Linked DNA regions of Lytechinus pictus. The protein of the gene in region 1 interacts with the protein of each later gene in a pairwise test. Links are inferred from orthologs where the notes say so. Each region holds a gene or a part of one and is shown in the gene's direction. Other genes may lie near its edges.

What was found.
Region 2: the proteins of histone acetyltransferase KAT2B-like (region 1) and transcriptional adapter 2-alpha-like interact in a two-hybrid assay, tested with the Drosophila melanogaster proteins (2 studies listed by BioGRID). The link is inferred for Lytechinus pictus from reciprocal best matches to the Drosophila melanogaster genes Gcn5 and Ada2a.

The regions. Positions count from the first base shown.
Region 1 is NC_087257.1:2,578,115-2,595,418, forward strand, and holds the start of histone acetyltransferase KAT2B-like, read left to right. Parts: upstream 1-9,920; 5' UTR 9,921-10,657; intron 10,658-11,351; 5' UTR 11,352-11,437; coding exon 11,438-11,497; intron 11,498-12,882; coding exon 12,883-12,972; intron 12,973-13,329; coding exon 13,330-13,511; intron 13,512-15,200; coding exon 15,201-15,392; intron 15,393-15,789; coding exon 15,790-16,073; intron 16,074-17,304.
Region 2 is NC_087246.1:15,000,929-15,017,994, reverse strand, and holds the start of transcriptional adapter 2-alpha-like, read left to right. Parts: upstream 1-9,605; 5' UTR 9,606-9,747; exon of another isoform or gene 9,748-10,268; intron 10,269-17,066. Other genes in the region: leydig cell tumor 10 kDa protein homolog, read right to left, coding at 4,689-4,823, 5,718-5,773, 9,443-9,545. UniProt on the Drosophila melanogaster protein: Component of the histone acetyltransferase (HAT) complex ATAC; predominantly involved in acetylation of histone H4, including at Lys-6 (H4K5ac) and Lys-13 (H4K12ac).

The DNA.
Region 1 (17,304 bases):
TTTAGACCATAAATCACCCTTGTTCGGTGGCAATGGTAGAATACACTGTGAGCTTCTGGGCTCCCGCCCGCTGCGCGGGCGGGAGCTCTCTGGGTTACGGTACATAGTAAAACTCTGTGGTCTTTTCTTATCATCAATAGACCCTACTTCATTTCTAATTTAGAAGAGAGATAAAGAAATATGGAACAATGAAATAATTAGAGAGAGAAGAAGAGAAAATAAGAAGAGAAAGTATTTTAGAAGATCATTTGGTCAAGTCAATCTTGACGTTAAGTCCAAAACTAAAAGTTTAAAACTAAGGCAAAAGCTTCAAATCTTGACTTTCAATTTCATGACTTTCTTGTATTTTTGTAATTTTGTTCCGCTAAACTGCATGCTGTTGGCTTCTCTCACCAATAATACATCGAGTGAAGTCAATGGAGGCCTGTGTTGTAATAATGAAAGTTGTGGGTTACAGATGATGTGATGGCACGAGATACGATACGTTACGATAAACGATGGCGAGTGGTTAAACTTACAAGTACAACACTGACAAGGGTTACGACTCACGAAACTCACGAATGGGTTAATTACCGACGGTACAAGACACGGACAACAACTAATACTCACCTGACACTTGTACTAAGGATTCCACACGGTAGATAACTAACTCAGGTAACATTGACTTCTATATAGCTAGGTTGCAGACCATGGCGCCGAGTGGGGAGCTACTGGGATGTCCTCACTCGATGGCGTCTCTGGGTCTTCTCTCTCTGGTGTCTGGATCCAATCTCTCCTCTCCCAACCAGGCACCAACTTGTGTACGTGCTGTGCAACGCACACACGTAGCAGGCGTAGGAGCATATAAAGGCTCCTCCAATCAGGAGCGCTCCTCGCATACACACAGCACATACACAGACTTAATGTACATGAACATAGATCAATACATAGACTTATACACATACTAATACATATAGGGTAAGTACAGGTACATGGCAAATTTACTACATTCCTCCCGGTTCCATCAGATTGCGACATATATTGACAAATCCATGAATTGGCTATATTGTGCAATCTCAATAGATAAAAACAGATATGAAGAACTCTGACAGAAGAATGTAATATATGCCTATATGATTAAAACTGATTAAATACATGACATCAATAAAATACCTCAAATACACAAAAAGTGTGATCTGAGGATATGAACTATTCTTAACTTGTTCATTAAAAAGATTGCTGGTCCAGCAAAATTAAACATCTCATCACTTGAGACCAGCAAATATACACTTGGAGAAACAAGAACAAGTTAATGGTAAGTATTAATCTGGCCAGGCTGGCCCAGTCTTGTCTATGTATTGATACAAAGGTTATCTTCTTATTTTAGTGCAAGTCTGAATGACTGAAAGAAGGTACATTGTATGTTCATCCTTCAAAGTGCACTACTTGACATAGATTCTTAAAGTTGACTCTTGGTCAGTGCTTTATATTAAGTTGTATATTGTACTATTAAAATAATGACAATGGAATAAAGCCAATTTGGCTGGAGCTCTATTACCAATTAATATAGGCCTGTACAATGTGACCTTTACAAATATGATATATGATTGGTAATATGTTTGAGCTCTTAAAAACATATGTAATGTAAGGGTAATTCAACCAGATCTGGTGCAAATAGATATAACAACCTGGACTTGACATACATACATAGTATTTTCTCTTGAGAAAAAACTACTACTATTTCAACATCCTGTATGACAATATTTCCAGGGTTGTTTATAAAGCCTTTGCAAACAAGGTAAAGGATCTATGGTTGAAATATCTATATATCTTATGTAGTATAAAAGAGCTATTGCATAAACAGTGTTTGCACCTATTAATTCATATGTCACCTGAAGAGGTAAAAGCTATTGAAAATAAGAGGTGTGCCTTCACCTTCAGTGACTATTAAAGGAATTACAATGTATAACAACAGAAATTTCAATTGCAGGACTTTCAGCAACTGATCAAGGAGATAGTACTCCATTATTGGGGTGGTGGCCAGGGAGGAAGGAGCCACGGACAAGATAAAAGGAATTGGCCGTTACTGAAACTACATACATACCTCTGGTTCCACCAGAGGAGAGAACTGAGGAAATCAAGGATGGACAGCTTAGGAGGGGTACTTCCCCAAAGCATTTGCACAAGATAACTCTGCCCATGCTTGGCATCCTCAGTAGAGGCTCGACTGTCCTCTGACACAGTTACAAAACTTACATTATCTACATCTAAGGTATTAACTGTAACATCACTTACACATGAAATATCTACAGTTACATCATCTATACATGTGGTATTTACAGTTACAGCATCTACACTAATGACATTATCAGAAACACAAGTATCTACATCTATTGTTAAACGTTCTGGACAGTTCCTCTTGAAGTGTCCAGATTTGTTACATGCAAAACAAACATCACGACAAGACAACTTGGATTCAGTGTCTTCTGTCGAAGGAGAATCTGTATGCCTATTCAGCTCTGGGACAGCAGTTACCGATCCCTGGACTGAGGACTGGAAGGACTTCATCTGTGCCCCTGGAGCAGATTGAATATCAACCTTCTTCTCCAGATTGGGCACTCGGTCCTCCAGACTGTTCTGACCGGAGGACTGCTGAGCATTAGAGGCATGCCCGGAAACACCCATACGGTTAACTCTGGGATCCTCCTCGACAGTATCGTAAGACCTTTGTCTTGCATACGTTAGCCGATGCTGAAACCACCGAACTAAGTAAATGGCATCATCGAGATTCCGAGGACGTGATTTGATAGCGTATTTTCCCGCTTCATGGTCTAATAAACCCTGACAAAACTTTTGCACTATTTGCCTCTCAAAAATCTCCTCAGGCAATCCGTCAAAGACGCGTGAAGCGTAGGATAGGACACGGTCGGCCCATTCCCCCTTTGTTTCGGTTGTTGCCTGCTGCGCAAAATCAAATTGCAATTGTGCGACAGGAAATTCTTTGGAAGCAAATCTTTGCTCAAGCTTCTTGATAACATCTGTATAGGGAATGTTTAGCTTGGAAGAAACAATAATTGATGCAAAATATTTGATTGCGCTTCCCTCAAGACAAAAGCAAAGTTCATTGAGCTGTTGGGCTTGACCCCAACCTCGATCTTCCGAATAAAGCTGGAAATTACGTATAAAAGTGTGCCAACATCCTCTACCATCGAAGGTCACGTACTTGGGCAACGAGGACACTCGCGGACCAGTACACCCACGAGAATAAGATCTCAGGGCATCGCAACCTCGATCTAAGGACGGAAGCCTTGAATCTAGAGTAGATGAATGCCGAGATGATTTCAGTTCTTCTGACAATGATTTCATTTGAACAGCCATACAGTGCATCATCATTGCTATATAAGCATCATCTTTGGAATGATCATTAGAAGTATGACAGGAAGATTGTGGATAAGAATCATGTTTATTTGTACTCTGAACCCTGCTGTTTGATCTGGGTTCACATTGAGTATAAGATGAATGTAAATGTTTGGAATCCTCACTACTATAGGGAGTACCAGGAGCATATCTAGAGTGATCAGTATATTGTGAATGATATCTATCCTGATCAACCTTGGAAGAACCATATGAAATATGACCAAAATTCCTTGAACAATCTTCATGATGATCAGTCCTAGAATGATAAGATGCATCAGTACTCAAATTATCAGCCTGAGGCTTTCTACCAGTATTGGGTTCAGCATATTTATATTGGCATTTATCAGCACATTTATATACAAGATCTGTTAAATCGAGATCAGATAAATAATGTATCCTTGAACAATCAAACCTCTCATAAACAAATTCATCTACAAAATTTCTTGGATAACCAAGCTTGTACAGATTATTTGCCAGTGAATACTCATATAAGTATCCCCTACTAGTATTACGACTGTCTATAATGTCTTCAACTAATCCTTGTCTTGCTCTGGCGATTTCACTTTGCATCATTATGAATTCCAGATAAATTCAGGAAAGTATTATTGATGATCACCTTGGTGATTCAAAGGCATATTCTTAAACATATTTTAAATGATACTTTCATTTATTCAATGATCTACAGTGTATTAAACTTAGCAGAATAAAGCTTGCAGATCAGTGAAAGAACTTAACTAGGTTTGTTTATACTTGTGTCACTGAACACACTTACTGCCAAGGAAAGAGTGAAGTACTGCAATACTTGTACTGCTAAGAACAAGCGTCTGACTCTGAATATTAATAATAAATGTACACACTCCTGTAGCAATGGATGTATTCAGTGAAAGTATATTTACAAAGTACAGTGCAGCTTCAAGTTTCAGAAACTACACTTGTAGAATAGAATATCAAACTTCTACTACTCTGAGTAATCGCAGAAGTGTCAATAAGTTTTACTTACTCTACGACTATTAAAAGAACCTAACAAGGATTCAACTTATCGAAGCCTCAACGATTTACAGGAGTAGCATTCAATAATAATTGTTTATTTCTGATGAATGCAATATATAAATGCAATATATAAATGTTTATTTCTGATGAATGCAATATATAAATGTCAAACACACATTTATCCCACATCCAATTTTCTTTCCTCTTTTTTTTTCTTCTTTTTTTTTAGAATGGGGATAAGTTACCAACTAAAAAATGATGAGACTACTATTTAGAAATCAACTTGCGCAAAATGACAGCAGTGAATTTTGTACTTCACTGATGAATGGGATTCTAGAGCCTGAATAGAAATTTGCAAATTTTCAGCGCAAGAATGATGTTCCAAAAATACAAAAGCAACTATATGAAAAAAATAATTTCAAAGAATGTTGATATCAATTATTCTGATATCAAAGATCAATAGTATCTGTACTTTTCACTTAAAATCAGAATCAAGAGTTGATTGAATTAAAATAAGTATTTTCAAGAACCTTATTAAAATTTATTCAGAACTTTTTGACCTTTACTTGAGAACAATCTTTCTTTTAAAAATATAGAAATTAAATCTCTCATATAGGAATTAAATTTACAAGCAAGAATTATTCCAAAGAAAAATTCCTGATCTAACAATGCTTGTTAAAAAGTAATCTACTAAGAAAACCTGAATTTCAAACAGACAGAAAGACAATCCAGGATAACCTCCAAGAAAAATTTCCTACAAAGAACTAAGGGCCTGAAATTAAATTCCAAGTCCTCGTTCAAACCAGCTGTACACCGAGTCAAAAGGCAAAGCAAACTATTGCACTTGTTGGCTCCAGGTATACACGGTCAGGAAATTACAAACACCCGAGAGATTAAAGTTTTAACAAGATTTTCGGCTGCAAAGATTCCTAAAAATCCCAAGTAATAATGGAATTTGATATCAAATTAAGACAATAGGATTTTTCTAACCTGGACTAATTTTAGTATTTTAGGGTTAGAAATTAATTGAACTTCCAAGACTTTTAGTAATCAGGACAACAGTGCTTATTTACTAATCCACTAAGAAAATTAAAGATCCAAAAAGACTAACGTTAACTTTAACCTAATATTGTTAACGTTAAATCTGAAGGTAAGCTCAGAAGATTAATTAAATAAATTCTTTTAAGTTTCCAGTAAGACAGTCGAACTGACTGTATCTCAAAGATACAAAACTGCAAAGTGCTACTGCACAAACGGTCACAGGTAGTCTAGTATTAAACTCGATGTACGGTACCCGGTACACCAGACAAAGCTAAGCTTGGGAAGATAAATTTAACAAGATCTACTAACAGTATAACACGAAATATGGCAGTATAAAATCAATGAATTTAGCTCAGTTTGCGTAAATATTGAGTCAAGAGACAATTGGCAGGTAAATCCAGCAAATTGTCAGTAAAATCTGACGAAAAGGAAACTCGTTCAAAATTTGCCTTCACGGCGACGATAGCCGGTTCGTGCACGTTATCCCTGCCTGGAGTTACGGGCCAGACAGAGAGGTGCGTTGCGCTGGTGTTGGTTGAAAACCGCGCGACGTTAGACCTAAAATTAACTACAAAAAGAATGATCAAATTACAAAATCAATTTCTACGAGTTCCTACTTAGAACTAATCATTAGAATAAATCAACGGTCAATCACGATAATCGTATAAAATCAGAGTTTCCCAAATTCTAACTCTGATCGACTGTTCAGTGTTCTGTCAACGAGAGTCGCTAGCAGAATCAATGAAATAGAGTCACGTGATTCGGCTCGGCAGTGTTTCGCCGAGTGAGCTAGGCGATCGAGGGATCGAGGGAAGATTGTCAATTTTTTGTCAAAAACAATCTATTACTTCTTGACTTCCAAATAGTTTAATCTCTAAAGCAATGGAAATCACCATCAGCACATAGATTAATCAATAGTGTTGATTCAATTTTAGTTCGAATCAAAACGACATATAAACATGTAACATGAAGAACATAGAGAATAATATATCCAAGTTATCAAGAAATTAATAGCCTACCGGTTTCTCTGCAAAACTACACAATTTCAAAAAAATTATGGAGCCTACACCCAACCAGCCCAAACTACCAATTATTTGATAGGGAAGATAAAAATATTCAGACTTCTCTTTCACAGTCCCAACGGGTCTGACACTGGTATTGACAGAAGTATATTCACACAAATATTTCAGACGTCTATATTTTTTCCAGTCCCAACGGGTCTGACACTGGAATTATTATACAGAAGTCTATTCACACAAATAATTCAGACGTCTATTTTTTCCAGTCCCAACGGGTCTGACACTGGAATAGTTTATAGATGTCTATATATTCACACACAATTCTACCGAGTGGGTGAACAATTAGCAACAATGAGTAACAATAACTTTTAGATTGAATTTAAGACAATGACAATCACAGTTATTAAAGAGAAACAATCACAATATCAAATGTGATGAATGAAATGCTTTAAAGAAAATTCACAAGATGTGTATTGATTAAGAACAAAATTCAAGAGTATATTTTCAAGTTACAGCTAGGTAAGATCCGAAGCTCAGAAAACCCACCTATTTTCTAGTAACAGGTAAGATCTGAAATTCAGAAAAACCCACCTCTAACGTACCACCGACACAAGTGTAATTTCGAGCTGGGTAAAAATTTGAAGTAAATTCAGACTATTACTCAACTCGGCAACCAGGAGTATTAGAACTTCTATCACTCTTTCTGCCACTCAATGTGTACAGAACTGGCTGTAAAAAACACTTGCCAAATGTCGATAGAAAATATATACTGGAAATTTTATAGAAATGTATGAACAACTCTACGCCCTCAAAATATTGGTGCACTGCCCGATATGCAAGAGTATGAAATTCTAGGAAACTTATACCATCTGGAATAATTACTGAGGATCGAGAGAAAATTTCAAGTTCAAATTAACTTTTCCAATCCAATAAATCCACCAAATACTCACACCCGACTTTTTTTTGGAAGTGGTGTGGTGTGAATGTTCCGAATTTGAAAGAAAGCTTATAAAGACAATGGCGGACTAAAAATATCCTCGCCTAGTAGCAGATTTCAAAGAATTTACAAACAAAAGCAACGAGATGGTAAGCGACGCAAAAATATGCAAGGAACGAAATTCTTGATCGCGAGCCAAACAATAGAAGAGACTCGCGAAGAATGCGATGAGAAATGCAAGTGCAACTAAACAATGTAGGGCGTGTGCACCGTGTGCACAGAGAATACCACGTGCGTTGCAATGAAAATGCAACGTAGTGGATATGAAATAATTCCCTAGATATGGCAAATATATATCAAAATCCACTTGTAACAAACAAGAAATGATATCATGTACGAAAAAATGGTAGAACTAAAACAAGATGTGTGCGAGATGCATGCGAATCCACGCAATCACGGCACGCAAATTTCCAATTCTCGGTAGAGAGCGGAAAACTTCCCACTCACTCTCCGTTCGTTATACACTTCAAAATCACTCACAAATGACTTTCATGAGCAAATATGAAGTATGAACGGACATGAAATGATGAAAATGTAAATGACAGGCGCACAGAACGATCCGAAAACTCGCAATCGCCAATGTTGTAAAAATGAAAGTTGTGGGTTACAGATGATGTGATGGCACGAGATACGATACGTTACGATAAACGATGGCGAGTGGTTAAACTTACAAGTACAACACTGACAAGGGTTACGACTCACGAAACTCACGAATGGGTTAATTACCGACGGTACAAGACACGGACAACAACTAATACTCACCTGACACTTGTACTAAGGATTCCACACGGTAGATAACTAACTCAGGTAACATTGACTTCTATATAGCTAGGTTGCAGACCATGGCGCCGAGTGGGGAGCTACTGGGATGTCCTCACTCGATGGCGTCTCTGGGTCTTCTCTCTCTGGTGTCTGGATCCAATCTCTCCTCTCCCAACCAGGCACCAACTTGTGTACGTGCTGTGCAACGCACACACGTAGCAGGCGTAGGAGCATATAAAGGCTCCTCCAATCAGGAGCGCTCCTCGCATACACACAGCACATACACAGACTTAATGTACATGAACATAGATCAATACATAGACTTATACACATACTAATACATATAGGGTAAGTACAGGTACATGGCAAATTTACTACACCTGTACAAAACCAATGTACAGTTTTTGTTAAAAAATATCTCATTTACAAAAAAGAAATTGGAATCTACATCCAACTTGACAAGGAAATATATAAAATTAAGAAATTTCAAATTTCACACTTTGGACCGCAGTTACTGCTAATTCCCTTCAAATGATGATGAAAACTTAGTCACCCTCGATCCTTTTGACGGTCATCGTAAATTGCCATCTTGAATGATGTTTTTACCAGTCGAAGTCGCTGTATATCGTGATTCGTGCCGCTGCGTTTCTCGGAACTTGTTGCTCGCATATCGAAAATTCTAATCAGAAAGCCTTGATAAAACAAAAGCTTTAATCAACGAACGTAGAAGGCAGCAATATACATCTGCCAGTTTTCCTCTCCGGCAAAATATTTGATAAAATAAGGAATAAATCATCGGTCAGTCGGTCACATAGATTTTCGATCTTTTATTTCATAGTTCGTAGTACTTATAAAAAGAAAGATAAGAATCAAACGAAAATGTGGACCGTCGTTTAAGATAATATAAAGTCATATAGACCTAAAAAAAGAAAAAAATCTAGACAAAACACTATATGCCTGAATTGGGAGAAATGATTACACATACGGGCTCGCACTAACGTACTACTGTCGGTGAATGGGGATTGTAGTAAAATATCTGAAATTGTTAAATAAACCCCCAGAAACGATGGTTATTTCTAGACATTCATATGCCATTATTAATATAATGATTGTTGGCATTAACAAAAAGACAAGACAAGATATAGATCTCATGATCTAGTCGATAGATCTCTAGGCCTAGAGTCTCTTCTTAACGTTAGGCCAAGAAAAATATTAAAATAAAGCAGGCACAGGACAGAGCCAGAAATCAGACGAGGAGAGGAAGGATTTTCAAAAAGCTTGTTTATCAGCTAACATTAGACTAGTAGTATTACTATTAAATGCACCCTTAATTTGCAGTACAGGCACTGGTCAGAAATTTGGGATCATCACAGTTTACAGGTACTGTCTCAGTTTTCAAAAATTTCTCCACACAAGAAATCTTGGAAAGTCATTCGCTTGTCAAATGCCGACACCAATCAAGTGTGCTAGTCAATCTTAACATATCATTTTTCATAACAAGATTATTGGAAGATGGCAAGTCGTGCAAAATAGACGGTCAACTTGGGGGAATTGAGGTCACCAAATCTATTTTTAGCACTCTCAATCCCCTATTTGCTGTCTGCATGTATGTCCCGCAGGGGTAAGTGAAAAAAAATATCCCCATAAACAAGGACAATTGCTATTTACATGCATCAAGACATTTGTCTTGGTTTATGAGGATATCCTTGTTTTCTGGGACAATCTCAATTTTTGGACCAGCACCTCTACTGATTTGACATGCACCAGGATTTGACTGCCAATCTTGTTTTCACAAATCAGCACAGCGCACATTCCGTCACCATGGTCCACGGCACACAAATGGCCCCAACAACTTTTGTTACACACATGCACTATCTCCACAGCCAGTTTATAGCGTGCCAGGAAATTCTGATTTTAATTTTAAATTCAACTCCAAAATCCCCTCTGAAAGCCCAATTTTGTAGTAAAAAGGCAGAATCTGCATCTGCGCCATATTTCTAAAGCCTTGCGTAGCTCAGCCCAGACTTATGAAACGGGATCGCCAAAAACTGCGCAAGAAACAAAGAAATCTGTGGTTATGTTCCAAGTTTGCCAATTGTCTTGCAAATTAAAGAGTGTATCTTCAAAATGACCAAAAAAGAGAAAATACCAATTGTAACTTTCCCGTTGTATATCCTGTGCAGTGCTGCGTAATTTGGTGGCTCTCGCATGCATCTACTTTTGATCATTTTGTGATAGGCCACACCAGACTTGTGATTGTGCATGATAGAAGAAGGTAACCAGTAGGCCTATTTTGTTGTCTTTTGTTGTTTGCAGGCAGACGAAGCATGCAAGTGCAATGGTTGGAAGAATCCTAATCCACCTCCTACACCGACACAACCAGCTAGACTGGATATAACAACCCCATTGGCTAGTAGATCAGACCCATGCAAGAGCTGTGGCCATCAACTTGGTATGTATGCTCCCATCTGTACACTTGATTCATTAAGTTTTAACAATAATAGAGGAATAGGGCTTGAATTAAGATTCATAGGGGCAAGGCCATTATGACACTGAAAGGAAAGGAAAGGTAGTGGTCACTTTAGAGGCATCCAAGGTCATTAAAGAAAGGCATTAATAGTAAAATTTACTTTTCTGTGGGACACATGAACTGAATTGCTACAGGGCACCAAGACATTAGTACTTTATGTTCAGTGCTCCATTGTGTCCTTTAAATTGTTTTAAATGTTCCATAGCCCAAACATAAGTATACTGAATCTTCCATACTCCCAGGCCTTGCATTAACCAAAGGCAACAAGATGATTGCTTGGGTGCCACTCAAACTGCTTTTCTGCTATTAAAAGTCCCTTATCACAGACATTGGTTGGCTCTAACATGTTTTTTTTTTCAGGGCTTAGGGGATATACACATCTGTACATATCAATGCATGATAAAGAAAATAGCCATTTATGATATTGGTCAATCTTATGATAATGATGATAATAATAATAATATAAAGTCAAAAAGGGGCCTAAGCTTTCGATCCTAGCAGAATCTTCGTCGGAGGCAAAATGACCAATAATAATAATAATAATAATGATAATAATAATAATATATAGCATTTATGAGGCGCGGATAATAACAATGTGTGAACAAATTTCTTCCAGCTGAACATGTATCCCATCTAGAGGATGTCGCTGAGGAGGAGATTGACAGGCTCCTGGGCATCGTAGTCGATGTCGAACACCTGTTCATGTCTGTCCACAAGGAAGAAGATGCCGATACAAAGCAGGTCTACTTTCATTTGTTCAAGGTATAGTTCACTACATCCTTCTGTATTCAGAAATGTGTTAGTGTTGAATGAAAACTTAACCCTCAATCTCCCGGGGTATTTTGATTCTTGTCATTCCGGGGGGGGGGGGGGGGGGGGGGGGGCCATAATGGCCCCCCCTTAAGATCTCAGCCGTTGATTTTGCGATCACAATGAAAATTTGCATGATGGTAGAGAATGACGTAATCTACGCAGTTGCATTGGTAAATTTCACTGAATTCATATATTTTTATTTTATATGAATTAATTATGCTAATTTATTCATGAAATCATACTTTTTGCTCTGATTCACTAAATAAAGCTCCTAGAATGCTATTTTTTGGTGAAAATATTCTTTATAGCATTCCTAACAATTGTGAATGAAAAAAATTCTGTTACCAAGACCAATTTCTTATGTATTTTATTTTTTTTTATATTTCTTATGTATTTCTTTGTTTTTTTACTTTTTGTTGTTTTTTCGATGGAAATCACTCCAGACTTAATTCTGATCATAAACAAGGCAAAATTAATTAAGTTTAATCGTTAAAAGTAGAAATAATGATACATTTATGAAGTCTGGCCAAATACACAATTTGCATTGGATTTGTACATGCAATCACGTTTATGAGCAATTTTGGGTCTGACATGCACTTACATAATGTTGCGTAATGTCGTAACCGCGTACCCGGGCGTCACAAATTTGGTCTCAAAATTTGCGCGAGACTTGAAAGTAAAAAGTCAGTGAGCGGCGAGGTTAAACAATTTTGCGCAGCAGATATATCGCGAAAATTGTCGAGGGGGGGGCCATTATGGCCCCCCCCCCCCCGGGAGAATTAGGGTTAATGAGGAGGTGCGATCGGTCAGTCGGTAGAGCGGGGAGGTGGGGGGGGGGTTGCTTGGATCCTGGTCACTCGGGTTTGATTCCCACTTGGTGCGCTAGTGCCCTATGGTAAGGCATTTATCCTCATTACCAGGTCCCTCGGAGAGGACCTTAAGCTGTCAGTCCTCTGCTTACTTGCTTACAAGCATACATGCTTTCTTAGCAATCGGGTAAAAAAAAAATCAGCACCACTATCTGTTGAGCAACTACGGAACATGGAAGCTTGAAGGGTTTCAATTTTATCGCTTGACTTGATGTTATACTTGATGCAGAAGATTGGCAAGGGCGGGATTTCAGCTCTGGGCAGTTGAATTAAAATGTGAAAATGTCATCTCATTTTTCAAATATGTTATTGTTGTTTTAGCTTTAAAAAAGTGAATATTTGCGCAAAAACAAATCTACCCTTTCTTATGCTCTTTTCATGATGTTAAGCTTAATAAAGAATTTCATGTCTAAAAATGTGAAACATATTTGACTCATAATTTTTTTTGATGTATTCCTTGTACAGCTCCTGAGGAAATGTATCCTGCAGATGAACTCACCATCGGTAGAAGGTCCTTTAGGTCGACCTCCTTTTGAGAAACCAAGCATTGCAAAAGTAAGCTCCAGAGATTACTCATTTGATTTTATAGTATACTGCATGAATGTCTTATTGGTAGTAATAACTGAAGTTTTTAAATTTACTATCAATAGTTGCCTCTTGTCTTTTATATGTACCTTGTCCCCTTGCGCAACATTTTCTATCTGTACGCTAACTTGTAGGCCTCCTTCATGTAGGTTGATAACTTGATGTTCAATTAAATGTTACAGGAAGATATGAATTGAGCTATGAATGAGGCATGAATCAGTTATGTGGTTTATCGATCAATGTATTTCCTTCACCCTTTTTCTCACCTCCATGTCTTTCTTCCCTTCACCTTAAATGTTCCTCCCTCTTGTACTCTTCTTCTTACAGGGGGTGTCCAATTTTGTCCACTACAAGTTTGGTCACCTGGTCCACAAGGATTGGATGACGATGTATGACCTTGCTAAGATGTTCCTTCACTGTATGAACCATTGGAAGCTTGAGACACCCACCGCTAGGAAGCAAAGAGCCCAGCTAGATGAAGCGGGTGCTTACAAGGTTACCTACACAAGGTCAGTACAGTGTTTGGATTCAATAGCCTTTTTCAAATCCCTCAATTCGGGCTGGAGCAGGCATCAGTGTACTCGCACTTCGTGATAGGTTACTGTGGAAATCACTCTGCCTCCTGAGAATTGAAAACCCTTCCAAGATTGGGCTTTAACCTCTTCAGCACCAGAGGAAATAGTGTTGCATTTCTCTGTACCTCCCACCGTCACTTCTTCCTGAAACCTTCCCTTGAGTTGTCTGGAATGCTTCCCCCCTTGGCCCCCAATGTCTGTTTGACACGCTCTACTACAGCTCCCCCCCCCCCCCACATAGTCACTGTCCCAAAGTCAAACACTTCTCTTCATCAATCATCATATATACCAAGGACGGCTCGGCTGTAGAATTCACTCCCTTCCAACACATTCCCTTTAGCTCCAAACATGGACAGATTTAACCCTAATTCTCCCGGGGGGGGGGGGGCATAATGGCCCCCCCCCCTCGACAATTTTCGCGATATATATGCTGCGCAAAAATTTTTGACCTCGCCGCTCACTGACTTTTTACTTTCAAGTCTCGTGCAAATTTTGAGACCAAATTTGTGACGCCCGGGTACGCGGTTACGACATTACGCAACATTATGTAAGTGCATGTCAGACCCAAAATTGCTCATAAATGTGATTTCATGTACAAATCCAATGCAAATTGTGTATTTGGCCAAAATTCATAAATGTATCATTATTTCTACTTTTACTGATTAAACTTAATTAATTTTGCCTTGTTTATGATCAGAATTAAGTCTGGAACAATTTCCATCGAAAAAACAATAAAAAAACAAAAAGTAAAAAAACAAAGAAATACATAAGAAATTAAAAAAACAATAAAATACATAAGAAATCGGTCTTGGTACCAGAATTTTTTTCATTCACAATTGTTAGGAATGCTATAAAAAATATTTTCGCCCAAAAAATAGCATTCTAGGAGCTTTATTTAGTGAATCAGAGCAAAAAGTATGATTTCATGAATAAATTAGCATAATTAATTCATATAAAATAAAAATATATGAATTTAGTGAAATTTACCAATGCAACGGCGCAGATTACGTCATTCTCTACCATCATGCAAATTTTCATTGTGATCGCGCAATCCACGGCTGAGATCTTAAGGGGGGGCCATAATGGGCCCCCCCCCCGGGAATGACAAGAATCAAAATACCCCGGGAGATTGAGGGTTAAGAATAATTCATATTTGATTAGCTTGATGTAAAACCTTGTACTATTTATTTAATTATGGTTTTCTTATGTGACAGTCATGGGTCACTATTCATCATTTTATGATGGCAACATCAGTCCCAAAGAACAATAAAACAAGAAAAAAATTGTGTGCAATCCCAAACAAGTACCAGCAACACGTTTCTTCATGGAAGATAAAATAAAGGTATTGGAAAGGCATTTGTACCGCCCTTTTCCACCTCCCATTTCCACTACCCGTTTTCGTCTAAGTACACAGCCACTAGTATAAACAGAGGACCATCCTTAGGGTCAAATGGTGCAATGAAATGAGATGGTAAACACATTTCTTTATAAAAACTTGTTTTTTAAAGTTTTTGAAAACTTGTTTCTAACCGGGAAATGTTGGTATATGCAGCCAAAGTGTTGGTCATACTTAATTGTGCCATCATCTGCTTCCATGATATCTGACCCATTTTTCTTCTGTAGGTGGCTGTGCTACTGTCATGTGCCATCATTCTGTGATAGCCTACAGCATCATGAACCAACGGATATCTTTGGTCGAACGCTTCTCAAGACTGTCTTCCCTGCGATGAGGCGGCAGGTCTTAGATATGTTACGTTCTGAGAAGGACAACATGCCTGCTGAGAAACGTAACCTGGTCCTCACCCACTTTCCAAGGTAGGATTATTGCTGTTTGTTTCATGAGTTCTTGTTTTATGCAATTTCTAGATTTCTGTCTTCATCTATATAATGGAGCAGTGGCCTCAATTACTTTGAAAGCGAATGCAAGTCAATTGTGGGTGAACTTCTCAACTTGAATCCTTACACACAGCTTTTCAATTATGTTAATTAAATATGTAATTTTCATATCAGTTTGTTAAAGCTCTTTGCCTTTCCACTGACTACTGCTGTTGTTTGTGGATTTTCCAACCTATTATTCTACTAGTTTGATAAGTTTTGTTGCAATTGTTTTAATCTACTGTATATTATCTGTTAAAAATCAAGAAGATGATCATCTAGAGTGCGTCCTTTTAGATCTGACTAGTGGTTTGTTAATTTATTGTTGTTTGTGTAGATTCCTGTCAATGTTAGAAGAAGAAGCATATGACAGTAATTCACCCATCTGGGACCCAGAGTTTACCCCTGTCCAAGGAGCTGTACCCCTTGCCTCACCGGAGGGCACCACTGAACTTGAAGATTCTTCTGATCCCTCTGCCCAAGCACTTGGTCGTATCACTGTGACAACAACCACTACTTGTGCGCCCTCTATGTCAGATGGTCATACGTCCTTTAACCTCAGTCCAGGGTTGGTTAACGTAAGGAGAGCGGCAAGGTTAAGTGCTCTAGCTGCTACTCAAGGTAGGAATCAAAAAGTGGAATAATTTTTTTTCTTTTAAAATTCACGAATAAGATCTGGGCCCTGTAACATAAACTTAAAGGGATCGTTTGACTTTGTGAGCAGCTGATTTAAAAAATTCTCAAACTGAGACGAAACATGTGTATGAGTGCCTGTATTTGTCCTCAAAAACCCTGAAACAGACTTCAATATAGGATGAAAAACTGTAATTTAGATACAAGTAGCAATTTATTAGCTTGATTTTGAGAACCGTCTAGTAGACAGGCTCAGCTTATGACCAGTTTTCTCCAATTCAAAAAGTCTGTTGGCTATGTTGACTGCCTTCTGCTGTGTGTATCTCCTATACACACGCTATTAGCTGCACTGTACATTTAGTGTATACCTTGTACACACTGTATGTAGGTCATGCTGTGTTCATCTAGAGTTAATGTGTTGTGTTGCACAGATTCGCTCTATACACATAGTCATTGAAACCAACTCCCAATTATTTTGAAACTTTGGTTTACATCTCCAATGTTTTAAATTGATCCTGTAGATATAATACTTTGAAACTTTTGAGATGGTATTTTTACACTATAAGCCTAATGTTTAGCCCATTTTCAAGAACCAAAATGAGAATTTTTTAAATCAGAACAAAGTGAAATGATCACTTCAAGTGAATTATTATTTGGTTTTGATTTCTATGATTGGGTAATTTCAAATCCGGTGTTGGTGTTGAAAGCACATTTTTGAATTGTCTTTTCTAGCTCCAATGCCTATTCTGAGATTACACAAATATCCAGATCACAAAAACGGGTAGCTCAACACCTAGTGAGTAACTTGACAGGATCATCTTTTATTTTTGGTGTTATACTCGTGTGAAAATAATCTAATACCAACACCAAAAGGTCAACACCAAATTTGAAATCACCCATTGTGTATGATAGCATAATATTACCCCTATAATCAATACCTAAGTTTTATGAATAGCAAATAAACAAGCATAATATTGACTTAATTCGGTTGTATTATTATATTGTGAAGCATACCACTGGGGAGCTTATTTTGTGGTGGTTTTATTTGTGAGTCAAAACCTCATGATAGTTAACAAATGAGTGTTTGTCTATGTATAGTAAGAAAAACAATAGCAAATCATGAAATCACTTCCTTACTTATTTCAGCATCAGTCCAAAGCTGCATAAATATCTTAATGTGAATATTTTAGCCTTACCGTGTGGTTGTGATATTTTGTAC
Region 2 (17,066 bases), on another chromosome or scaffold:
CTTCAAATCTACTCTCGCGTTTAGATCAGACTACCGGAGGTCATGCCCACTGAAAGTCAAGACCCTTCAAATCTACTCCATGGCTACAAATTTCCTATTCCATGATCACTGAAGGTCAGACCCTACAAATCTACGGAGGTCATGAAGGTTGTGACCCTTCAAATCTACTCTTGACAGCTAGGAATGTCCTTTTCCATGACTCGACACTATGTTTTCTGGGATTGAGATTTGTACTTGATAAAGCATATCTTTTGAAATAGAATTTCATAATTAAGTAAATATCCAAATAATTTTCAATGAATGTTTCGGAAGAAATTTGTTTAGTTGTTTTTTTAGGCTTATTACACACCACCCCCTTTTAATGCATTCTATTCCAGCTTCAGGTTTCTCAAAATGGATTTGCTGATGGTTGGGTTACCCATTATTTTTATGCATCCATGTCTCTGATGGGATCATAAGCGAGCCATGTGCTTTATAGTGACCCCGTTCTTTCTTAAATAGGAATATCAAGTCTTGGCCTTGTTATACAAAGGACACAATTAATTGCAAAACTGACTTGGGCTAAAAAAGATGATTGTTGTTTACACATTTTGTTTATGAGACTGACCAGTACAGTATAATTAGGTAAAAATTATTCTTTCATATTATGATTGATCACCAACTCATGTAACAATGTAATATGATAACTTGCTAACTGTGAATTAGCTTTATATCACTTTATCCAAGGATAGAGCCTCCAAATCATTCTCATGGCAAATTTGAAAATCAGGACAAATGCTGCATTTTGATATTCAGAGCTCAGTTAATAGGAAGAAATATATTTGTCCATATAATTTCTGAAGCCTATCTTTAGGTTTGGTAAATACCCCAAAATGCGACTATGAATGATTCAATTTATTACTAGATTATATGATCGTTAATGCCCTAACAGTTATGTTGTGGAGAATATGAAATGAAAATGTGTTTTATAGAATAAATTTTGTGATTTTACATGAAAATGTGCCCGATCATAGTAAATATCTGTGGTTTTTATACACCCGTCCTAGGATGGGACGTATTATGGTATCACCCTCGGTGTCCGTCCGTTAACTTTTCCTTGTAAACGCGATAACTTCAGTTTGACTTAACCTAGGCTCATATAATTTGGTGTGTATGATACTAGCATGAATCCCAGGAAGCCTCTTGATTTTGAGGTCCAAAGGTCAAGGCCACAGTTACATATTTTCATCTTACCCTTCTGCAGTCCTTGTAAACGCAATAACTTCAGTTTAACTTAACCTACATGTAGGCTCATATAATTGGCCCTTCCTGCCTTGAAAGCTTTGGCCGAAGGGGGGAGGGAGGGGGGGCTTTCCTCTAGAATTAATATTTTTACTAAGAATAATGTTGAATATATATCATGATACTTCATTGTAACTTTGGCTAGATATTTTTCAGATTAAGAGATTTATGATTTTTAAGTACAGAAGTATGATTTGTATTTATTTCAAGAATGTTTGTTTTGATATATGATTACAAAATTATATTATTTTAGAAAAGTGAGAAATCATGAATTAGAAAATCAATATTATTTTGGGGCTCAAAGAGTTGTCAGATCAAGATATGTATTGTTTTCGATTTAATTTGTAACTATTAAACAGTCACATGATTTGATTTACCTGATCTTTTGATTTACCAGAAAAACATCTATTATTTCAGAAAAAGTAACAAATTATGAATTTTAAAATTACAAATATTTCAGGGTTTATGTAATCGCTTTAGAGCAAGGAAAATTGAAGTTTTGTGTTTCAGTCTTTGCATTCAAATATACTTCATACATCAAGTATATTTACATAAACACACTCTTTGTTCAATTATATCATTTGTGATTCAATTGCTTTACAAAATCCATTGAATATCATTTTGTAAAAGTTCACATACCATTAGATACAATAATTATGAATATGTAGGGTATTTTGTAGGCAAGTTTTAGCTTTCTTATCTACCTACTTTTTGTCCCCGGTCGAGTCCACAAAGTTTTATCCCAGGATGTGTTTTATGGACAATGAGCAACATTTCTTAATATTTTGCTAGATAGGTCTTAAGAGTTTTGCTTTTGCCGTCACTTGGTTTGGTACTATTAGTAGCTCTGATATATTGAATACAAGTTCAATTTTGAACTGTACCGCTTTTCTATTTCATTTTGTCCATGATTTAAACATAACCAGTTTTGAAATGTGACTTTAGAAAAAAAAAATTTTTGCAGATGTGTAAATAAAAAAAAATCATAAATTAAAGGAGTGAAGTGAGTCAAGGCCAAGAATGTTAGAATTAATGTATTTCCCTTTAGCTAGAAACTTGTTAGCACATGACAATCAATTATATTTAATCCTATGACTATGAGCAAAGTCAATACCTTGTTTTCATGAAAGGAATACTTTTAATTAAATGAAATGTATATTACAGGATATATTTGAAGATCTTGTTATTCTAAAGTAAGGACACTGAAAGATTATATAATGTATGAAATGTGGACATCAATATAGCTACCCTAAATTTTTGTAATTTATTTTCATATGTGGAATGGGTAATATTAATAAATTTAAAGTACATGTATGGCAACAGCTTGATTTAATTATCCTTAATTTGTTTCATTCCTGGTCAATTTCTCTTAGACAAATACGATTGTTTTTCTTGATCTGCTTTCACACAAATTTTATCATTACCAACATTGAATTGCTGTTTAAGTATGTCCAATGTAAGTTACAGCAGATACAACTTCATTATGTACTGGTATATAGCCTATTTATTGCTGGGGTTAAACTAGCAGGTATGCTGTCCTAAAACATCCATACGTATTACTTCTGAAGGGATTCATAAGTTTTATCACTGGATACACATTCTTTTTTTCTTTAAAGAGCTGAAAGGGCCTCTTGCCTCAAGTTGGTTGAATATAAAGAACAATAACTCCAGCAAAAATCCATCAAATGATATCAGTTACGGAATTTAAAATGTTAGTATTGACATCACATGCAAAAAGCTCCCAAAATTGGTTTTTAAACATAATTTCCATGAAAAACAATTGTCATAGAAAAGAAGTGCATTCAGTTTCATGCTTCTATAAATTATCCAATCTTCATTATCCCTGAAGATGGCAATTTATTTGTGTCTTGTGACATCACAAAATCAAAGCTTTTAAAAGTAATAACTTTGTAATTTTTGATGGATTTTCGGTCTACCTTCATTTTTAGTGCTTTTTGTGGCTTTATTGAAACCATCTTGTCATTAAAGTGAACTTCGCCTATCAATATGACCCGAGGCAACTTAATTTCTCAAAGAATATCAAATATTGTACATGTATTGAAGGAGGGAGTACATATTTGATATTCTTCATCTTTTAGTGCCCTTGAATAATTGCCTCAAAGGCTGAATAAAGATTTTATAAAATAGTGTAATTATGAGATACATACTATGTAATGAAATATCTAATGTGAAATATTGTGTATTGAAGTAAATGTAACTTTCAACTTGCATAATGTGTATTTTCAATATGAAAAAAAATAAATAATGAAATTAACTCAAACAAGAAATGTCACTACTTTTTTTCCATTTATTTTGTGATTTCATTTTCAAGCTGTTCTTTGTACATGTAGAGGTAAATTTGCTTCCTAGTACGTCAAACTTCTATAAGTCAAATATTCGCCCAAGTCGAAGCATTTTTTTAAGAAACCATACTATGCGAATTATGCCAAGTCAAATTTCTCCAAAGTTGAACATATTTCTGTGGCCCTAAAATATTTGACAGAAGCAAAGTTACATGTACCTGTATATATTATGTACATTCAATTCATAGGTTGAAAGTATCAACATAATATTATGCGAATGATTCTTTAAAAAGTGAAAATTGTTAAGCCAGTATTTCTACTTTTTTTTCAACAGTTCTTGTAACAACTGTTTTCCTTTTAGAAATATTGCCTACAAGTAGCATAAACATGAGTTTGAAGAGACTGATTTCAGTGTCTCGACCTTTAACATATATGAGAGTATTTTTAGTTTTTGGATTCAAAATGTAAGCCAATAGTTGAGAACCAAAGTGGTCACCTTTTCTACTGGTCAGGAGGCTACCCCCCCTTGGTTTCAAAAGATTTTTAAGTTGCATTTTAATCCTGGTATTTAGGTTATTTTGTTATCTATGGCTCTATGCTGACAATGTTACATGCACTTTAATTTTGGGTTTTTTAAAGTTTGGATCTCCATGTTTTTAACTAAATTCATTTAAGGGAGAGAGAAAGGTATGTGAGGGAATGTTAATCCAATCAAGCTCACTCAACCATGACACAAGTTCTTTCTTTCTGATTAAAACTTCCATGTGGAGAGTAAAAAAAGGGCTTAAGCTTAAACAAATTCAGTGGAACTGGCCCCTAGAGTGATTCTCAGAGTATGTAAGTGTTCTTTACATCAAAGTTCAACATAACTGCCTACTCCTTGAGTTATTATGAAAGCTTGTTGAATGTCCAGTATCTGCAATCACCATCCATGAAACACTGTTTGCTCAATTTCTCTGGTTTTGAATCCACATGTTACTTGTTTGAAGAAAATTTTGCTGAAATCTTTTACACCAATTATGCTGTTCTCTGCTCTCTAGTTTCCCCCAGAGTCCTTGATGCACGATCGTTATTCATCAATCCTTCAAAAGTTTCATGCCTTGATCATTTTTTTCCTTTCTTCTTTGAATCACCTCCCCCTGATGAAGGTGCAGCTACCAAAAGCTTCTTTGGTTCTTTAGAGGCAGCCTGGGAAATGATTTCTTGCTCATTCCGAGAGCTGATTGCCTTTGTGATATTCTGCAAGGGAAAAGAGGATGTTAAATGTCAATCGTATCATTAGTAAAAAAATAACAGTAAAAGGATTATCAGTTCAGTTTAATACATTCACTTGTGAAAGAAATCCACTTGATAAAATATTAATGAAAATTTATCACCATCCCATCTCACCCTGAATCAGATGCCATCCATTCCCCTATCTCCATCAAAGAAACAATAGTTATTTTTAAATATGCTTAAATATGTATAAAACAAAATAATGGAAATACTATTCTAAATTAAAGCAATTCTGCAACCAGAAAAGTATAGTGTTTTCTTTGTTTCTAGGAGACTTGACTTGGACATAATAACCTGTATTTATTCTGCTTATATAAGGCAAACCCTACATTTAAGTCAATCAATCATGAATGATCTCAATGGTCTGTTTAATTAGATTGGTAATCTGTACATCATTGCTAAACTTCATATCATTTGAAATTAATTCTCGAGAGAGACAGACAGTTACCCAAGCATCAGTTTTAATGTAAAATTTAAAATCTGTAGAGTTTTAGACATCAACATGTGTTTGTTCTACTTCAATCTGAGTAAAATTGAATTCTTTTGTCCAATATAAAGTAACATTCTCCTTGCCTCATAAGCTTAGTCATTATCTCAGAGGACCTGCTCCGATTTTGGCCAAATCAAGCAAAGTCTGTGATTAATCACAGACTTTCAATGGTACACTGTGACTGGCAGAGCCCTAAAGCAGATCAGATATCACAGGTATGTCTATCACTTCTCAGCAAATAGTAATCAACTTTCCATGAAATCTCAAGAAAGATGACTTTTATATACAGGTCAATATCTGAATTGAAAGATATTGATTTTCCTTTTTCCATTATATTTCCTTACTGATGATCTAAAATAGTTTCTCACCTTCTTCAGTTTAGCAGCTTCTATCTGCTTTGCTTTCTTAGGAGCGATGAATCTGGCTGAAATAAAATAACAAAAACAGTGAGTTGTAAAATCTCTCTTCCCCATGACATTAGCATTTTCCCAAACATTTAGACAAAGAAATTCAGAAACATTTATAAACATTACTGCAACTTATATATTCCATTTTAGTGACTTGAATTTGAAAGTGGTATTTAATTGCCAGATATGTATTTTCTATGTGAAAAACAAAAAAAAATCAAAATCAATGATCCAATCTAATGTTTAGAGAAAAATGACAGAACAAATGTCTTGACCAATTGCTCTGTGAGAAAATTGAAACCATGTTGAGTTTTGATAAAAATGCAGAGCGATTAGCCCAATGATTTCGCATGATTCTAACCAAAGAAGACACATAACAACCATAAACTTTAAATCTGCATGCTGCAATACATAGATTGATAAAATTTAAACAAAATCAGATCATGATTAATGAATTTCAATGACAATTCACCAGGATTCACGTACAGGCCTCAATATGCAGCCTTTCTCATCGTAATCCATGAAGCCTTGAGAGTGGGTTAATGATATTGGTTGTTCTGTTGGCTCCACTCATACAGAGACCAAAGTTCTTACTCGATCTGTACAGGGACTCAATGGCCATATGTTTATGTATTAAGTTCGGATAAACCAGGGAAGTGGGAGTTGCGCGACACTCAACAGCCAAAGTAAGTCACTGTTTTTTTTCCTTTTAAGTTTATTTTTTCCTGTTTTGGTGCATTTCAGGCCAAACAGAATGATTTATTTTGGTCCAGTTCTTTTTATATATTTTTATGAGATAAAGACAAAAATCGATTAGCCCCGTCGGGGGAATTTTGCATTGTAAACCCCCTAATGGTGGCTGCATGATCATGAGCCGTCTGTGTACAAGGAAAAATAAAAATTTTTAAAAAACTCCTCGAAACAGATGGCTGCCAGCTGTACTTTAAAAAAATCTTATTCTTTGAGTACAAAATGTAAGGAAATATAGAAAAAAATAGATAACAAAATTGAATTCATATCTTAGTGTAATCCAAAGACAAAAAAGGCTTCAAAAATATAAAGTGACCCCCCCCCCCCTATACAAACTGCATTGCAGTGGCTAGTGTTGCCCTGTATGTAGTGTAGTGTATAGCGTTACTGATTTTTGCGCGAATAACGCAACGTGAGGGATGATTATCAGATTGACCCAGCACAGTGTTTCCACTCTTCCCGAAATTCGGAAAATTTTGACTTTTTCCAGGAAAGGTTCGGGAAATGAAAAAATTCCAGGAAATTTCGGGAAATTCAAAATTTACAATTAAACGTAGCAACTATTATGGGCACTAGTATTCAACCCGGCATATTTCAAAGATTTGGACAAATTCCCCCAAATATTTAGAAAAAGGGAACTATCTTAATTTCATACCTTTGTTATTTTCAGGGTAATCTGTTGTCAGTATTTTCTTAATCAATCTATGCTCGGAGGAGCGAATTATGCGGCCATGACCTTTTGCACTGAATTGCACTAGTATTCAACTTAGTGATGATAGATAGTGAATCTCAAAATGGTTTAGATTGCTAAACTAGATCTAGATCTATGTAAGTCTCTGGCTTTGACTAATTCCCTGTTTGGTCTCATCTCAAATGGTCTAGTCCATAGTCGGATGGGACAAGGGCAGATTGAGAGACAGGGCCATCTTTCATCGCTAGGTTGAATACTAGTGCCAAAAACCATCGCCGTATAATTCAATCGCCCGCGCACACAGTCGATAGTTGAAGAAAAAAAATATAAAAAAGCAAAAAGAATAACCAGCATGCTCTTGAAAATAAGACAGGTCTGAAATTATAGTAAATTCCATATTTCTATACATTTGAGGAAACTCTCCAAACGGGTTGAATACTAGTGCCCTTACGGTACGTAGCTCAAAATTTTCCGCTCTCGCAAAGTCACATTTTGTAATTTTTGTTCCTATAGGTCTAGTCTAGACCCCTTTATGGTAGGGGGTCCTAAAGCTACACACCACTCATCGCGCATGCAGTTTTTATGGCAAATGTGCACTCTGTGTGTGGAACTGTGACTGCAGAGTGACAAACGATTCTTATTCAATTTTTTCTACTGTAAATGTAAATCTCTAAATGCAGAGAAAACCAACAACTGTTTGGAATTTTGAAATTATATTCGCTTTAATTTCATTTTATCCTCTAATACTGTGAACATATTTTAGAAATACTATTTTTTTGCATGATAAATCAAGTGCGTAGCTTTAGGACCCCTTCTCTACATTTAACATTAGGCGGCGAAATCAAGAGGTGTTGGAAAACACGGCGGGATTTTCGTAGTTTGTGATATTTTCTTCTTGGTTAATGATCTTTAGAATGTTAAGTTTGCCACAAATTGGTGAAAGGTAATTTGTTCAAATACTAAAATTGGCATATCTTTTATCTTTACTACTAACAAAGTTAGTGTGAGTGGCTGAGTGCCCCCATCATACCTATTTAAGGACGTTCCACAGTTAAAGTGAAATCCATGTCATTTTCACGAAACTTTGCACATAGATACTTTAGAACCTTAATGTTCGAAATATGCAAAAATTAACATAGGTCCATGTGCTTGATTTTTTGCTATAGAAGTTCAAAGTTCACCCAAATTGATGTTCTTAAGAATTGCGCATTCAAAAGAATTTGGCATTTTTAGACCGCCCAAGATTACTACAATGAGTTTAAACCTGTATTACTCAGTCAAAATACATGAAAAAGTCATCAAATTTCGCAAGAGAGTTAATAATTGTATCATTAGAACGGAGAATATATTCATAGTGCTATTTGTTTGCAATTTTAAGTTTAACAGCACTGTCAGTTCTTAAAAATGGCGTAAAAGATAACAAAATCCCAATCTAAAAAATGTGAAATTTCAGTAACAAACTACAAAAGTACAATAAATGCTGCACTTTATTCAAAATCCATGTCATTTTCACCAAAATTTGTAGAGTTGTAGAGGAAGGTATACTTAAGAGGAACAAACATTAACGTTCATGTGCTTGTTTTTAAACTATCAGTATTTTTATTAGAGCAAATGTGCTTTTTAAAACACCAAATATGCGCCGAATGCTTTGTATCTATGTGAAAAAAAAATCAAAACCACTCTACCATTTATTCAAACTCGGGGTAATATTTGTGATTCTTGGCAGCACTGCAGAGTAAAGTATTTTGAAATTGTAGAGAATCTTTTTTTGAATGGTCCATGGAATAATTCAATTTTTTAGCTTCATGAAAAAACGCATCGGATCTGCAGTTAAAGTGCAGAAGATGAGAAAAATCAGCACATACCCGCAGCTAATTAATCACCTGTTCACCCATTGTGACGTCAGCGCGCAGAGTGTAAACTATGCGCAGATCATAATGCGCACAAACATGTTACTGTGGAACGTCCTTTAAAGAGGGCGTGAACAAAAAAATGCTGAATTCCTTGATTTGGCCACCTGGACCAAATTTAGGCTTGCTATATTATTCATTTATTGCCCGATTTTTGTTGAAATCAAACATGAAAATTCCAGGAAATATCTATGAATTTCAGGAAATTTGGTAATTGGGATTCAATTTCGGGAAATTTATTTTGGAGCTGTGCCTGTGGAAACACTGACCCAGCACAAATTCTTACGCGTCGGGCAATGCATACCGTAGATCCTCTCGAAACTAAATCTACCTACCTCCTCTCTTTGGCCCTTTCTTCTTCTGATGAGCATATTTTTGCTTATTTCGACTACCCTTTCCTGGGACTTGCACTTTTGTTTTGATCTTTCCTTGAACCATCCTGATACTGTCACTTCAATATTCTATATTTTAATCTAAAATCGGTCTGGTTTTTTTTTCGAAAACGGAGCGACGTGAGCATGGTGAGTGACGTCGAAAGGTGAAAGGGAAGGGACTCACTCGATTTACACATGATTGATAAGATTAAGGCTAAGCTAAGCCAGAGCAAGGACGTAAAAGGCAATAAAGATAATTATCAGAGGTAATTATAACTACCATACATACTGAAAAGATATAAAGATTAACATAAATAAGTCTTTCTCTCGACTAAGTACCGTATGTGACGTGAATTCATGCGAGTATGAACTTGACATTTACAACCAGCATGTGTTGCGAGCGATTTAGCTCGTGTACGATTTTAACGGATCGGTCACATAATTGTGCTTTAGACCCTTTACCTGCGTGTATAAAAAATCTTACGTACAGGTGATAGGAATAGACTAATAACTTCGGGTGAATGAATATGAATGAAGCAGTAAAACTAAAAAGGAGAGAGCATCCAACCAACTCAAACAGTTGGCCCGGCTTCTGTTGCTTTGGCCTAACTATTTTTCCTGGTAAAGCCTACAATAACAGTTAACACAAACCAAGCAAACTATTTTTTTTTTTTTTGGGGGGGGGCAAGCGCAAGGCCGCCCCCCCCAAAAAAAATTCACAACCAAACTGAGGGCGAAACTGAGTCTGAGTAGGGCAAGTGCAAGCCAAGGTCCCAAAAAATATAGAAAGAGAGAAAAGGAAAGGGAAATGGAGGTCTTCTAAACTATTATTGTCTATTCTCTGAATATTAATCAAAATCTATAAAAAAAAACTTTTTGGTCCAAATATCTGCCCCAGCAGCCCCCTACAATTTTTTTTTTGGGGGGCTCATTATAAGTGTATTACGTCACTGGATGTCATTAATGGAGAGCATGAAATTTAAAGGTTTCGATCTGAACCAAGCTTGCCAAACTTGGCACTTTCGAACCGAACACAAAGCCAAAGGCCTGGTTCGATGGTTCGGTAAAAAATAGGCCCATTTTAATTGAAAGTCCAATTTTGCCCTATGCGCGGCACCGGTAATCCCCTCACAGCTGGGTGGTCCATCACGGCACCATCACACTTACGGGCGCAGGCCGCTTGTAAATCAGAGAGGGAAAGTTGATCGAATGCAATTTAAAATGCTGATATTCGGACCCAATGCCAATGGGTAATATTAATATGAATAAATTTTACAGATCATAATCAACGAAATATCATAAAAGTTAGGTATAGATCTATCTCTTCAAATGCGTCAATTCTAATATTTTTTTCCGGAACGGTCCGGAGCTGAGGCCTGTACTGTGTAAATGTGTGAGCATGGAGCTCCCGCATCACACTCACCTTCAACTTCTTCTTCTTCCAGTCTGGAACAGTCACTGGCGTATTATCGTACCTTGTGCTTGTCAAGTGCTGAGTGTACGGTGCAGCAAAAAAAAACAGGACTGAAGCTTAACAAAGCTTGACACACTGCACCTTCAGCTTGAAAAGCTCCAATGACCAATGAGGTGCAGTTGACAGCGACAGGCGGTAATGAGTTCCACAGCCTGATAGCTTCTGGGTAAAATGATGTTTGAAGAAATCGTGTCCTTGCATAGGGAACCTGGAGTTTATGTGGATTTCCACGAGTGCGTACGTGGCGCTGCTACTTACACAAATAGGAGTATGTGGGGCACTGGAGGATACTCGACGATGCAACAATCGCCGTAGAAATGCCCCGTAGATTCGTCATTATATTTTCAAGGCGAACATGACCGAACAAATAATCTTAGCATCGAAATCAAGTTTGAAATGCTTTTTCCCCTCATTGTAATTTCTAAGACAGGAGCATACAGGAAAAGGTTTATAAAATATAAAGCAAGAAAAACAGACGAACATAAATAAATAATATCCAACTTTCTCCGTTCGTACTATGGCTGGATTGAATTAGATTTCAACGTATTTGGTGTGTGTGCAAAGGGGATCATCTCAGAAGTTCAACCTTACATCAAAGATGTATCAGGAATCCGTACGAAGAGATATGAATGTTGGAAGGCCAGCAAGTCATGTTTCGATTTTGAAAAAAAATCAGAGCTCGAAGGGAAGTTATGTGGAAGAACGTCGTTTACGGTGGTGCCTCGCAGGGACCTTAAAAAAATCACTGACCTGAAATTTTACGAGCGGGCTTATCGCGTTACGTAAGCGGGCTCTTACTTTCACCTGGCGGCTCGCAGATTGATGTTAGATATCGTTCCTTCGCCAGAAGGGAGCGATAACAAAGGATTAACAGAGGAATTGGAAGAAGGATCTCCTTCTGTGTTTTATAGCTTCATGGTAATATGATAACTTCCGTTGGGCGTAAGTCATATCGATTATTTTGTAAACAGCTTTAATTTGATTGAACATCGATGCATTGAAATTTGAAGGCGGGAAAATCAAGTCAATTTTTGTGCTCCGTCATGACCGTGCTGAGGGACGGGTTAAGCGTTGCACAAGTTTGATGTTTGATGTTTGAAAATCAATCCTGACATGATATAATTTTTTTTAGAAAAGTGCACCCATCACTCGTTCAGGAATTTGTGATGTCCGTCATTAAAAATGGAAACGAAATACAAATGTTTCACATCAAGCCCTAAATTCATATTATTAATTATCATTTGCAAATTATTGTCAAAATATTATGATTAAATAATGTTCTATGGTCATAATAAGAAATATTGTTAATGAGAACAAGATTTATTTTACGTTGGTCGCATCATGATTTTCCTTTAAGATCAATTTCGATCTTGTTTGATTAAAGCACAATGTGCATGCGCGATCGATAACGATAAATTCCATTCATGAATTCATCGTGCATGAATTATCTCAGCATTCAGAGTGAGACTCGAACTAGGATAAAAATAAGCTTCAAATTAATGGTGAATAGGCATCATAATTACACAATATGTTTCATTTTGTGGAAATATAGATCAAGTGGGTAGTAGTTATTAAGTAGCCTACTATGAAAGCATGGCAAAATCTCGTACATTGCAGCTCATTGACATTGGTTTATAACGTTAACTGCATTGTATGTAAACTGCATGCACGCTGCCCGCGCCCCAGGCCCAAGACAGATTTCATTCATAGAAATTAGTGAGTGAGCCCTGTGGCTTGTGCAAATACAGAACTTCAAGGGTGGGTATGAATGTGGAATTTTAGTGATTAAAACTTGTGCAGCATCTGAGAACTTAAAATTACTGTGAGGCTGTGAGCATGGTAATAGCCCAATATGTATGATGGGGTGACCATAATTTGCGCACATTTTAAATATTATCATGAAGTTGATTTTCAATCATTAATTTCTCACAGCTCACACAAAATTAATCAAAACCATTAATACCAAAGGGAAGGCAAGATCCCAAAGTCCAATTCGCTTGACGGAATTATAAAGTAGGTCAAGGGTTTCGCTGGTATCACGATCTCAAAATTCCATGGCGATCGACTAGTGCGCGCTCGGCTGAAAAAGTGTCATAAAAAAGTGTGACCTTAATTTGCGCACAATTGTTTTGCAAGGATTTAGAAAAGAAATCTAGCAGACAAAGGTAAGATAATTATATCAGATGGAGGTTAAAATGCCATGAATTCGGTTGGTATCACATTTTACTTATTTGGAGAGCTCTGCTTGCAAACTGGCGATTTCTTGATGCTTGTCGAGAAGATCGAATTTTCTTGGAGCGGACGCAAAAGGTGACAAAATTTGCCGATGTTTTGCCAATATTTTCACAAATAGAGACCTTACCCTCAAGAAAATTACCATACTAAGTAATTTGGAGTCGCTCTTTCTGTTGGTGATATCAGTTTTTCAAGATATTAATTAGAAATTGAGATATTTAACAGTGCGCAAAATTAGGTAACGCGCGAATTAAGGTCACACCACCATACAGAGCATAATCATGGCAAATTCTGAAGGAGATCTGTCAAATCATGACATGCAAATGTGATAATGTTTAAGCTGTATATTCATAGTAGGGGAGATGGGGTCAGTTGGAACATTTTTGACAAAAATGGCTGTAAAATCCAAATAGATTTTATTCGAGAAAACAATCAATATATCAGCTTGAAGCATATATCTAAGGGCTTCAAATGTACCCCATGAAATTTTTAACTCTATTATGGTTACCCCGGTACTGAAAAAAAAATCCACCTTGAGCAAGACCATCGCAAACGTTCCAACTTACCCCAATACGGGGTAAGTTGGAACACTGCATAGTCAATTAAGAATTATACTAAAACTTCTTAAAACTAATATTACATGGTTTTAGCCTATTTGCTTTATTTTTTTCAAGTTCAAAATACACTACTCAAAAAAAGTTAAGGACCACTTTTTAATGTGTGTATACAATTTTCAAACCGGGTGTTGTATTTCTAGAAATACCCGAATATGGCTGTCTTGAATCTCCTCAAACACCCTGTAACAATTTCACACATGGGTGGTTTCAGTTGTTGCATGATGTCTCTCGCATTATTGCATATCCTGAAAAGTGGGCCCATTGTGAAGTGGTACAAATGTGGATTCAAATGCATTTTCTGTCTTTAGTCTCTACAATCAACAAATTGCTGACAACAGCAATGCCAAGATACAGCTGTCCAGGATGCCATCAAACACAATGAAATCAATTTCACACATTCAGTTCTTTCATGTCTCTTGCATCATTGCAATGTGCCCGTAAAAAAGTGGCTTCCAAAGCATTTTCTGTCTTTAGTCTCTACAATCAACAACTTGCTGACAATAGCAATGCCAAGATACAGCTGTCCAGAATGCCATCAAACACAATGACATCAATTTCACACATGCAGTTCTTTCATGATGTCTCTGGCATCATTGCAGTGGGCCATAAGACAAGTGTCTTCCAAAGCATTTTCCGTCTTTAGTCTGTACAATCAACAACTTGCCTACAACAGCAATGCCAAGACACCACCTAAGTGAAACAGATGTAGCCAGAGCCCTAGGGATGCTGGAAGCTGGCCTCAGTCAGCGAAGAGTAGCCAGAATGATGGGCGTGTCACACAGTGTCATTAGCAGAGCAAATCAAAGACACCGAGAGACAGGGCTATACTCCGAGAGACCCCGCAGTGGCCGACCAGTTTCGACAACCCCTAGAGATGATCGCTACTTGACGAATCTCAGCCTCCGCAACCGCTTTCACAGTGCACGCCGCCTCAACAATGACTTCGCTGCAGCAACTGGAGTGATTGTTTCCACTCAAACAATCCGTAACCGACTTCACAGAGCCAATATGCATGCCAGACGGCCAGCTCAGTGTGTCCCACTCACCCCTGCTCACAGAAGAATTCGTCTCAACTGGGCCCGGGAGCATGTCAGATGGACCAGACAGCAATGGCGTAGAGTTCTGTTCACAGATGAGAGCAGATTTTCCCTTGACCACAATGATGGACGTTCGAGAGTCTGGAGGCGACCAGGAGAGAGATTTGCAGACCCCTGTATTGCAGAACATGACCGTTATGGGGGAGGCAGCGTCATGGTGTGGGGAGGCATCACCTACGCCAACCGTACTCGTCTCTACGTGGTCCCAGGGGGAGCAATGACAGGAGTGAGGTACAGGGATGAGGTCCTTGAACCTATAGTGGTGCCATTTGCAGAAAATGTGGGACAAAACATCATTTTCATGGATGACAATGCCCGTGCCCACCGAGCTAGGGTGGTGACCGAGTTCCTTGAGGGCCAGGGGATTGAGCGTATGGAGTGGCCAGCGAGGTCCCCGGACTTAAACCCAATAGAGCACGTCTGGGACATGATGGGGAGGAGTCTCGAGCAGCTCGAAGCCCATCCACTTGGACTGCAGCAGCTGGGTGTGGCTCTGGAGGCTGCATGGGATGCACTGGACGTCAGAGACATCAATCGCCTCATCAGCTCCATGAGACAGCGCTGTGAAGCCGTTATTGCTGCAGGAGGTGGTCACACTCGTTACTGAACTGCCTGAAAGACACTCAGACATTCGTTTTTACCACTTCATGTCGGTAGCTGATACCCCTCGGGGCCCACTTTTCAGGATGTGCAGTGATGCGAGAGACATTGTGCAACAACTGAAACCACCCATGCTTGAAATTGATTACAGCGTGTTTAAGGACATTTAGGACAGTTGTACTGAGGTATTTCCAGAAATAAAACACCTTGTATAAAATCTTTATGTACGTTTTAAAAAGTGGTCCTTAACTTTTTTTGAGTAGTGTATTTAAAGTGTGGATTTGTCGAACTTTATGTTTTCTATTATACAGCCACTCACGCAAGCACACTGTGTAGTAGAATTCCGCATATTTGGGTGCATTTGATTTTACATGAATTAAGTGTACTATCAGCAATTTCATGTACTTCTGCATCAAATTTACAAGACAAAAATTAATTGTAACTTATACTTTTTTCATTAATTACTTAAATGCAAATAAGCATATGAAATTTGCCCTAAATTTGTTTGTTTTTGCCTTTAACTCTATTTATTAAGCTAGTAGAATGCTAATTTTTGGTGAGAGTATCAATTTTCACATTTATAACAAATATCCACAAAAAATTGAAAAAAATATAATTTCTTATGTATATTTTGTTTTTTTTATTTGTATTTCTTTGTTTTTTCGAACCTTTGTTTTTTCCGATGAACTTTGTCGGGACTCTTTTGCGATCATAAATAGCATAAAATAAATCTATTTGAACCAACAAAAGTATAAAATAATCATACATTTATGACTTTTGGTTGAAAAACACAATTTGCATTGACCTTGTACATGGAATCACGTTTTTGAGCAATTTTGGGTCCGACATGCACGTACAAAATGTTGCGTAATTTCGAAACCGCGCACACAGGCATCACAAATTTTTTGCTCAAATGATGCGCAAGACTAGAAAGTAAAAAGTCAGCGAGCACTGTAGTAAAAAAAATTGCGCGACGAGGGTGGGGGGGCTCAAATTGACCCCCCCCCCCAGTTTGATAAGGGTTAATATTGCATTAGGGGCCTACAATAGGCCTTAAATGCACACTCAGACCTGTTCAGAAGAGTGTGAAATACTTTATATATTTTTTTCTCATATCCAATGTTTTTATTCATAATTATGTTTGGGGTAAGTTGGAACATGTTCCAACTAGCCCCTTCAATTTTGTTCCAACTGACCCCGGAGGCCCATTTGACATTTATAAGCTTACAGCACAAAAAAGGGACTTCACCATGGCATATTAATAGCCTCATTTTGTAGCTTGGTACAAGTGTCTATTATACCCCCAAACTGGCCAACTTGATCTCTAAACTTCTCTGAGATAATAAACATTTCTGAAAGAGAAAAAAAATACTCAGAAGGTCTTAAAACAAAAATTCCTTTCTAACTTCACCAGGCTTGTTGCACATGTGTTGTCTGTAATGGCTGTTGATAATGACAATAAATTGAGGGCAGTATTGCAGAAATTTATTTAAAGACGTTAAAGAAAATTACAATGTTTCAACTAACCCCGCGTTCGAACTAACCCCGGTTTCCCCTATTTG